2 linked regions of the Oryzias latipes genome follow. The protein of the gene in region 1 purifies or fractionates together with the protein of each later gene. This does not show direct contact. Links are inferred from orthologs where the notes say so. Each region holds a gene or a part of one and is shown in the gene's direction. Other genes may lie near its edges.

Region 1 (4,340 bases):
CTGGGACATTTTCCCTGTAAAGTCAGCCCTTGCTGTGAGATTAACACAAACAAGGACAGGGCATGCTGACCCACAAAGACAGTACTAACCATAACATCCAGCTGCATGGCAAGTAAACTGCAGTGGAAGAAAACCATAAGGGTAACACTTTTTAGGATTTATAATCATGGGATGAGATTGTGGCGTATTGCATGACCCAAAAAATACAAAAAAAGTGACTCTTCCTACAAAAACAGCCAACAGGAGGCAAGTGTGATAACTGATGACTCTACTAACAGGAGGTAACTCACGGAGGGGCAGAAAACCTAGACAATTAGAGGATGTTGTAAGTGGAAATAAGGTTCACATTTCCATAGGGCATTATGGAGGATCCCACACACAAAGAAAAGTCATTCAAAGCAGTGGATTTAATTCAGAAATAACACTTTCATCTGAACTACTCTGCCACAGGGCAATAAACAGGCAGAGAACAATCATTAATAAACAAATTGAGGGCGTTAAAGAAACTATTATTTTTTGTCGCGTTTGTTCCTTGAATTCATTGTTGATGAAGCTGCACAGCTCAAATCACAAAAATGAGGCGTCTGGAACGGAACTTTACTGGTGACCAGGTTAATACTGCCACCTTGTGGTCAGATTCTGCAATTAAAAAGCTGCAAGTAAAACAGCACAACAAACCAGTTGTTTTCATACATTGATGCTCTGATTTTCAAGGTGCATTCAGTTCAGTATTTAACCACAATCGAAACTCATGACTACAATATATTTGAGTTCAACTTTTAACATAAGAAATTAACAAAATACAAAAAAAAAACAACAAACTTTTTTTTTCGTCACCCAGTAAGCGCCCTAATTACAGTACATGCAAAAAATATTAATTGTGCGAACATGCTGCATACTGCAGTACGGAAGAGGATTAGGGCCATGGAGAAATAAAAAAAAAGGTCATAGACAATTCTGACTTTAAAGTCAGAATTCTGAGATTAAAGTCAGAATTTTCTATGCGCTTTTTTTTTCTTTGTCCATGGCCCTAATCCTCTTCGGTACTGCAGTGATAAACTATAACAAACTTTCTACAATTACTCTTTTCAGAAACTTGAAATGTATTACTGGCCAAATCAGGATTATTTTTAATCCTAATATTTCCAGCCCTGGAGGGTATGAATCCTTAAATATTGAGGCATTAAATAATCAAAATAATGAAAAAATTTACATTTTCCAAACCCCAATCTATGTTTTGTTAGGAATTAATGTAAGGATTAACATCACTTAATTCGTTTATTTTTGCAGAAACCTGTTTTATCTGATTACGTCATGACAGAAAATCCTCATCCTGTAGATATTGAGGGAATGAGCGAGCACAATTGCAAATATAAAATCGTGTCAGGTACAAAATAATGTTTCAGGCGAGAGCCTTTTGAACGGCAGTTTATGGAGGTGTGTGATTGGCTACTGTCTGTTGCTATGACATCGCTGTAGTGGACGCCTGAGAGTGAAGCATTGTGGGAAATACGTTTTTTATCCCCTTTAGGTTGAGAATCTGATGGCACGAAAACTTCAGTTTCGAGATAATTAAATCAAACAAAATGAAGGTAATTTATATCGCAGTTAAGGGAACTTTGTGGTGGTTACTGTGAAATACGTCTGGGGGAAAAAAGCTGGTTCGGTGTGGTGTTGAGTGCTATGCTAACGTTTTACACAGGCTTTGGTTAAGGTAAATTTATGTATGTGTTCTTAAATTAATTCGTGCCTTTCTTTAATGAGTTGTGGATGGATTTTGAGTGTATACGATGTTTTTAAAAAGGTAAAACGGGTTGGAAGTATAAGCTACAACAGTTTTTAACTGAGTTTTAATGAGTTGTTTGATGCTACTTGCAGAGAAACGTTGTTTTGTTTTGTTTTTTTCCAATTTCATTTTTTTTCTTTTATTATCCAAACTAAGTAAATGTTTTTTAAAAGTCACCCAAATAATTCATAGATATTTGAGAATGAGCCACTTTGACAAGTTTAAGTGAATAGAATTGGGAGGAAACCAAACATTTTGCCACCAATGAGAGGATAATCTGTTGTTTCAAATGTAGGAACAATTATATTTTAAATAACCTTTCACCTGTGTACTGCACTAAAAAGTTGCAGATTTCATAAACAAGGGAGGCATCTCTGTAAATTGTCCCCTCAGAGAAAAGTTAGGTTTTGGATCAGTGATATATTAAAAGAGTCATATATCTCCACAGAGTGTTTTTATTCTTGCCGACAAGGCCTGGACCGGCTCCAACCTGCTTTACAAATGGCAAAAAAGTCTTGGTAATTATATTGCTGTTGCAGGGTGAGTATTATTTTTTTTTTGGGGGGGGGGATTTTAAAAATCAAGGTAAGATTATAACCAGAAGTTCAAAAATGTTTCTTTCTACCTTTATTGCTACAGACAGGACAACTCGGTAAAAATATTTGATCGGTATGGACATAAATGGACTGAACTCAACCTTCCAGGGTAAGTGGGACGTTTTCTTTAGGGTTTGTTTTTGTTTGATCAAGATGGATGAAAAACATAAAATAAAGACCTTTTTGCTTTTCTTTCTCCTCCTCATCCTCCTCCTGTAAGGCGCTGTATGGGGATGGACTGGGATAACGACGGCGACATTCTGGCCGTTATTGCAGCAAAATCCGTCTCCATCTACCTGTGGGACGCCAGTGTCAATAAAACATCACAGATAGACAGTGGCCTGAAGTATGATAATCAATCTCTACGGGTTAGAATAGTTACCAAATGAAACATTCTCAGTGCAAATAAAAATACTAATTTTAGCCTTTATACTTCTTGTTGTCCCCAGCAAAGATCAGATGTCCTTCATCTTGTGGTCAAAGACCGGCCCTCTGTTAGCTGTAGGGACCGCCAAAGGAAACCTGTTGATTTACAACAGACAAACCTCACGCAAAATCCCGGTCTTAGGTAAAGCACACTGAATGCAACCTCAAAAGCTGCATGTCAGTATTGGTGAGTGTTACAGAATGAAATGTCTGATGTTGTCTAACTTTAGGGAAACACACCAAAAGGATCACCTGTGGATGCTGGAACTCTCAGAATTTATTGGCCCTGGGGAGCGATGACAACACTCTCACCATCAGTAACCATGAAGGAGATACCATCTCACAGGTACTGGTGCACTTCCTTTAGTGTCATATAGTGTCAGAACATTTATTATTGTTATCGACCACGGAAATCTGACACAAAAAATGTACGGTAGTTAATCTTTCCCGTCTTTTTTTTTTTTTTTAGGCTGCACTGCGTGGAGAACCTGGTGACATTTACTTTTCATCGATGAAAACAGATGAAAGATCATCTCACGGAGAGAGTACTGTAGGTTTCTGGCTTGATTTGTTTTACTTTAACCATAGGTTATGTTTTGCCTGTTTGAGGTGAGGTTGTTCGATAATACTTGAAAAATTGACTTTATTTGTAGCCTTTTGTTTTTTGCTCTTCCTCACTTTGTGGTGCAGCAGCCTGTTACTGTCACTCATCAGAACTATGTGTCCTATTTTCTTCCATAATTGGTTTAACAGATAGTTTAACTCCTGTTTGTAATAGCCTGAGTGCAGACTCTATGATGATAACACTTTTATTTTTATGAGATGTTGTTTTTTAAACTTTTAATTCTATTTTTATAGTACTCATTTTGTGTTGACCTGCATTTTATTACATGAATTTGTCTATACTGGATGTTTTCCTTACAGAACCATATTTACCTGTTTCAGCATTACACATGTCCGTATTTTGATCACAATCTCTGCCTTCTCAGGTGAGTGTGATTGTGGATAAGAAATCCCTGATGCTCTTCAATATCAACGACCCAGAAAACCCAATAAAACTGGCTTTTCAGAGGACCTATGGAAGCATTGTGTCCTACCACTGGTACTGTTTACTTCCACGCACTACCACCGTATTTGGCACAGCGGGGACTAAATCAAGGCTGAGAATTCTATACTACATTTTTTGTCTGATTGTGCAGGTATGGCGATGGATATATTCTTATTGGATTCTCCCATGGATACTTCATAGTCATTTCGACACATATTAGGGAGATCGGGCACGAGATCTATCAGACTCGCAACCAGGAGGATAGTCTCAACAGTGTGGCCGTATCGCCAGCCCTCCACAAAGCTGCATCTTGTGGGGACAACAGGTGAACTGACCATCAAAGACACCCAGGAAGGCTTTTGTTTTAATGAAATATTGACACTTCTCCTCTGCTGTTACAGCATCAAAGTCCACGAGTTGTCTGAGTCGAAATATATCAGCAGCGTTGTTCAACTTGACGAGGACATTAAAGGTAAATGCTTCC
Region 2 (4,557 bases), on another chromosome or scaffold:
TTATTTGAATCCATCTAAAATGTGGCCACTTGCTGACACATCCCAACACAATTTGCAACTCAAGTGACATTGCTCAATCATTCTTTAAAGACTCAGAATAGAGAGAAAACTCACTGTTTTCAGGTGAAATATTGATCATGTTGAACTTGTAAATCTCTTTGGCGTAGTACTCAGTCTCTGTGCTATCCTGTCCGCAACTCTGCTGCCGGTCTCTTCCGAGCTCCTCAATGAGCTCCTTGGTGCTGTTATAAAGGGCCAGAACCTGAAAGGGTACCTGGGTCGGCCCCGCTGTCTGAGGCGGGCTGGTCATCCGGAGTTTACTCAGAATCTGTCCGCGCACCGCCTCCATTCTCTTTTTCCTGATGTTGTCGATATCCACAGTGGTGCAAGTGGACAGTGAGAAAGTCATTGTGACACAGTTGCAAAGGAGGAAAAGCAGGAGAGCTTTGCCCAGATTCATATTGCATTCACTCAAAACCGATCAAGTAAACGTAGAGAAATAAAATTGCAATAAGAAAAAAAATCTAATTCCAATTGTTATTGAATCCTTTTTAATATATATATTTTAAATTCAAGTCGTGAGTGAGTTCTGTTCCTGAAGAAATCCCATTTTCTCATGCGCTATGTCATCTTTGCAAAATGGGCAATTGCTTGGGCGCAAATCCGTACCATTTTGGAAAATATTCTCAGTTCTCCATCAAAACTCTCAATTACACTCTTCATTACCCCTTGTGTCATTCAAGCATCTCTCCTCTTTAGCTTTATTTCAATCTCTGCGCCGTGGTGAACTTGTCTCTATTCCACGAGGGTTCCCTCCCCATCCACTTGCGCTTTCTGGGGTCCGTGTGGCTCCGTTATCTCCCTGTAGTCCGACCTCAGACACGCTCTGCGCTGAGCCCTCAGTCAGACTTTATAGCTACAAGCAGTGACGTTTTGGAAGGAGGGGCAGCAATTTATTGTGCTTGAACAATGGGCGCTCTTGCAATCTCAATTTAAATGATGGCATTAAATATGCTTTAACATTTTAAAGGTGAAAGAACTTTCGTTTTTCAAAGAAAAAAAAAGTTAGTAATGCGTAATTTATTAATCATTAATTTCCTTGTTGATTTAGTCTGGGGATCCTTAAAATGTCAAAGAAGGCGATAATAAGCCGAGATTTTGAATATTTTGGGAGGACTAAACTCAAAAGTTGCATTTGATGGAAAGTGCAAATGCAGATGGTGAAGCAACATTTATGAGGTGCACCAAGTGTGCGCAGGAGTGCAACCTGATCCGCTTTTGAGTGCTACCGTTCAATGGGCCGTCTGTTTTTTAAAAGCATGCACAACACTGACATCTAGTGGCAAAAGAAGGGAACTGTGTTCAGAATGATTTTTGTTTCTTTGCAGAAAACTGAAAATATTGTATATTTGTTTACTTTTATCGTCAGATGGTCCCAAATAAATGTGAATTTGTGAATTATTAGCCACATCCATTTTTAAAGCTTTGCCATCCCCCTCCTTTTATTGTTTTTATAACTGTATGGCAAATATATACTTTTTAGGTGATGTGTGTAATATTTTGAAATTAAATACAGGTGGGCAATTATAAAAACGTTAATTGATTTCCTGTCTTTTAGTCAAGCAACTCGGATTCGCACGCTGATTGGTGTTGCTATGGACGCTGTTGCTATGTAACGCGTTAGCGTCAAACAGGAGCTTGGTTTTCTGTCTTTTTCTCCTCAGCTGAGGAGAAAAATGGACGACACCTTTCAGCTTGAATATGGTGGAGCGCCCAAAAACGTAAGCAGTTTGGTTGAATTGGTTCATAACAGGTGGAGAAGAGCACGTCTTTGCACATTTGTGTGGCGTAAGGGGTGAAGACGCACTTTAAAAGCCAAATCACGGTACGGTTAGCTAACTAGCCACTAGTAGGCCCTAAAGTTAAAACGCCGGGGGTTGTTACAGCTAGTTCACTTTTTATTGAAACAGTCAACGACACCGATACAAATGAGCTTGTTGTTTCTGGGCTACGAAAGCCGACAGATTTGTACTCGAGTTGCTATCTAACGAAAGGGTTTGCTATGCTAGCTAGAAAAAATTCCCGACATGCACCTTTTTTCGTTAGGGGACAGTTCTTTCTGCATTTTACCTTCATAGAAAGCTATACCAGACAGTTATGTAGAACAGATCAAGGTCACGACAGGGGCACTACTAAAACAACAACAAAAAAAAAACATATATATATATATATATATATATATATATATATATATATATATATATATATATATATATATATATATATATATATATATATATATATATATATATATATATAGGTTATTATATTCTTATTATGCATTTTTACAAAAAACAAAACAAAAACTGTGATAAAGATTATACATTGAGTGCAACTCAATTTTTTTAAACTTATTTTGTTGGTGAACCTGGGTCAGGTTCACATCATTTCCCTTTGCCTGCTTAGGTTTTCTATAGGCTCTCCAGGTTCCTTCCTGATTAGAGATTTGTGACTCTAAATGGTACCTTAGGGATGAATGGATGGTTGTGGTGACCCTAAACTGGTGACCTGGTCTGCTTTACCCCACCTTTGCCTACGGTAGCTATGAAGGGCTTCAGCAGCCCTTTAATGGGTATTAATAATAGATAAATTTTTTTCATGTATATTTAGTGGAGCAAGACATGTTGCATTTTTTTGTGCAAACCCAAGTATCATGAAAAGCTTAAAGCAAAACTTGCAAATATTTAGTAACTGATGAAAAAAAAACATTTTCCTAAGTTCCTCCTCATTTTCCAGGTTGCTAAATCTGGACGAAGAGCTCGTCCTCAGGCGAACCAATCGTCATTTGAAGATTCTCGCCATGCAAGGAAGTCCTCCACTTCTGCATCATTAGAAGTATGTAATCTACTGATAAGGCCAAGCTAGCTGCATTTCTTTTGTCTAAACATTTCCCGATGCAATAACTGCTTTGTTTTGTCCCATACATGAATCACATGATGCTGATGAGGTAGGTTGCCTGACCATGCCTGACATTTGCCTTTAATGCTCTAAATATAATTTACTTTAAACATTTTTACAGTTTTTAGATGCCTTTTTAAAATTGTTTTTGCACGTTTGCCTATTTCTAGTTGGTATGAAATAGTACCTCCCCATAGGTATATTGTTATTCCTAATTCTATCGGAAAATGCATATTGCTCTTAGAAAGTTCTGTTTGAAAATCTTTTGGTTCTTGCCGTTTTGTTGTTGTTACGTTTGTTTGTTTGCACTGGAGAAACGGAAACAAAAAAACTGTCTAAAATTCACTCCATGAATCAAAGTATTGGCACCCATAACTTAATATTTAGTTGCACCCTTTAAAAAAATTGTTGCTTCCTGTAATCATGAAAGTGTATCTCACACCTCTCTACGTGAATTTTGGACATTTCTTATGCAAACTGCTCCCGATTATTCAAGTCAAGAGGATCCTTTCTCCTTAATGTTTTAAAATTTCTGCACAGCTGTTCTATTAGATTTCGATCTGGACTCATTGCTTGTTGGCAGAATTCTCCAGCTCTTTATTTGGATCTATTTCTGAGTGCTTTCTAAAACATTTTGGGTCATTGTTCTCCTGGGAGGTCCATGATCTCTGAAGGAGATGCAGCTTTCTGACCACTATGTTGTGCATCAAAAATGTCTTGATAACAGTGGCGTTCAGACAGTCAAAGCATCCAGTAAAGCAAACCTAAAAAATCTTTGAAGGTCCAACATGTACTGTATATTTTATTTTGAAGGCCTCATTTCTTCTGTTGTAAACAGTATTATGATGTCCTTTACCAAAAAGTTCCACTTTTGTATCACTTTCTTCCAGGATTGCACTTTTGCTATATCAGTTCTCTCCAGCCTTGCTTTTTTTTTTAAATCATTTTGTCCAGTTCATTTTTCATATGTGTTGAATTTTTGTCAGGTTTGACTTAAGTTCTGCTTTTTTGTGTTGTTCCAGTGCATACAAAAGTAATAAACACATGAAATAAACACATATATTAAAACATTTATTTTAAAACACTAACATTATCTACATGCAAGAGTTTGAAGCGCTATTTTGTGCAAAACTCCTGGCATAATTTAAATTTACACACCACTCCCCATAGAGAGGGAACATTTTCTCTGTGAACTCTTAAAAAAAAAAAAAAAAAAAGGATGATGGTAAATTTAGAATTTAACAAGTAAGACTAAACATTATGAGAGAGGTCAAATAGAAGGAAATTGCGATGCTATTGTTGGCATTTGTGGAATCGGTCACATCTCTGCTCTGCTGGACTGTAAACAGGCCAACATTCCCAAAGCAGAAATTCCAGTAGTGCACTCGCTTTAGGCAATTCTTTCCAAATTAGGCCAACTTCCCTAATGTATGAACCCATATTCTCACGCCCCTCTGACCTCCTGTGCACATGCAATGCATTTTTTCAGTGTCGTGCAATTCAGATTTTTTTTTTTTCTTTGCTTCTAACCCTCTCGTGTCCTGACTAAAATACCCAACTGACTGGTCACATTCTTGACATTGTTTAAGTAAAAAAGTT

Evidence for each region.
Region 2: the proteins of wdr19 (region 1) and ift43 purify together in Homo sapiens (affinity purification with mass spectrometry; 3 studies listed by BioGRID and IntAct, counting the BioPlex papers as one, with this or other methods). This does not show direct contact. The link is inferred for Oryzias latipes from reciprocal best matches to the Homo sapiens genes WDR19 and IFT43.

The regions. Positions count from the first base shown.
Region 1 is NC_019859.2:13,002,754-13,007,093, forward strand, and holds the start of wdr19 (WD repeat-containing protein 19), read left to right. Parts: upstream 1-1,474; 5' UTR 1,475-1,586; coding exon 1,587-1,592; intron 1,593-2,234; coding exon 2,235-2,326; intron 2,327-2,425; coding exon 2,426-2,491; intron 2,492-2,602; coding exon 2,603-2,728; intron 2,729-2,831; coding exon 2,832-2,950; intron 2,951-3,038; coding exon 3,039-3,154; intron 3,155-3,277; coding exon 3,278-3,358; intron 3,359-3,797; coding exon 3,798-3,910; intron 3,911-4,007; coding exon 4,008-4,181; intron 4,182-4,257; coding exon 4,258-4,328; intron 4,329-4,340. UniProt on the Homo sapiens protein: As component of the IFT complex A (IFT-A), a complex required for retrograde ciliary transport and entry into cilia of G protein-coupled receptors (GPCRs), it is involved in cilia function and/or assembly.
Region 2 is NC_019880.2:13,329,535-13,334,091, forward strand, and holds the start of ift43 (intraflagellar transport protein 43 homolog), read left to right. Parts: upstream 1-1,652; 5' UTR 1,653-1,736; coding exon 1,737-1,781; intron 1,782-2,796; coding exon 2,797-2,895; intron 2,896-2,986; coding exon 2,987-3,007; intron 3,008-4,557. Other genes in the region: tgfb3 (transforming growth factor beta-3), read right to left, coding at 115-460. UniProt on the Homo sapiens protein: As a component of IFT complex A (IFT-A), a complex required for retrograde ciliary transport and entry into cilia of G protein-coupled receptors (GPCRs), it is involved in ciliogenesis.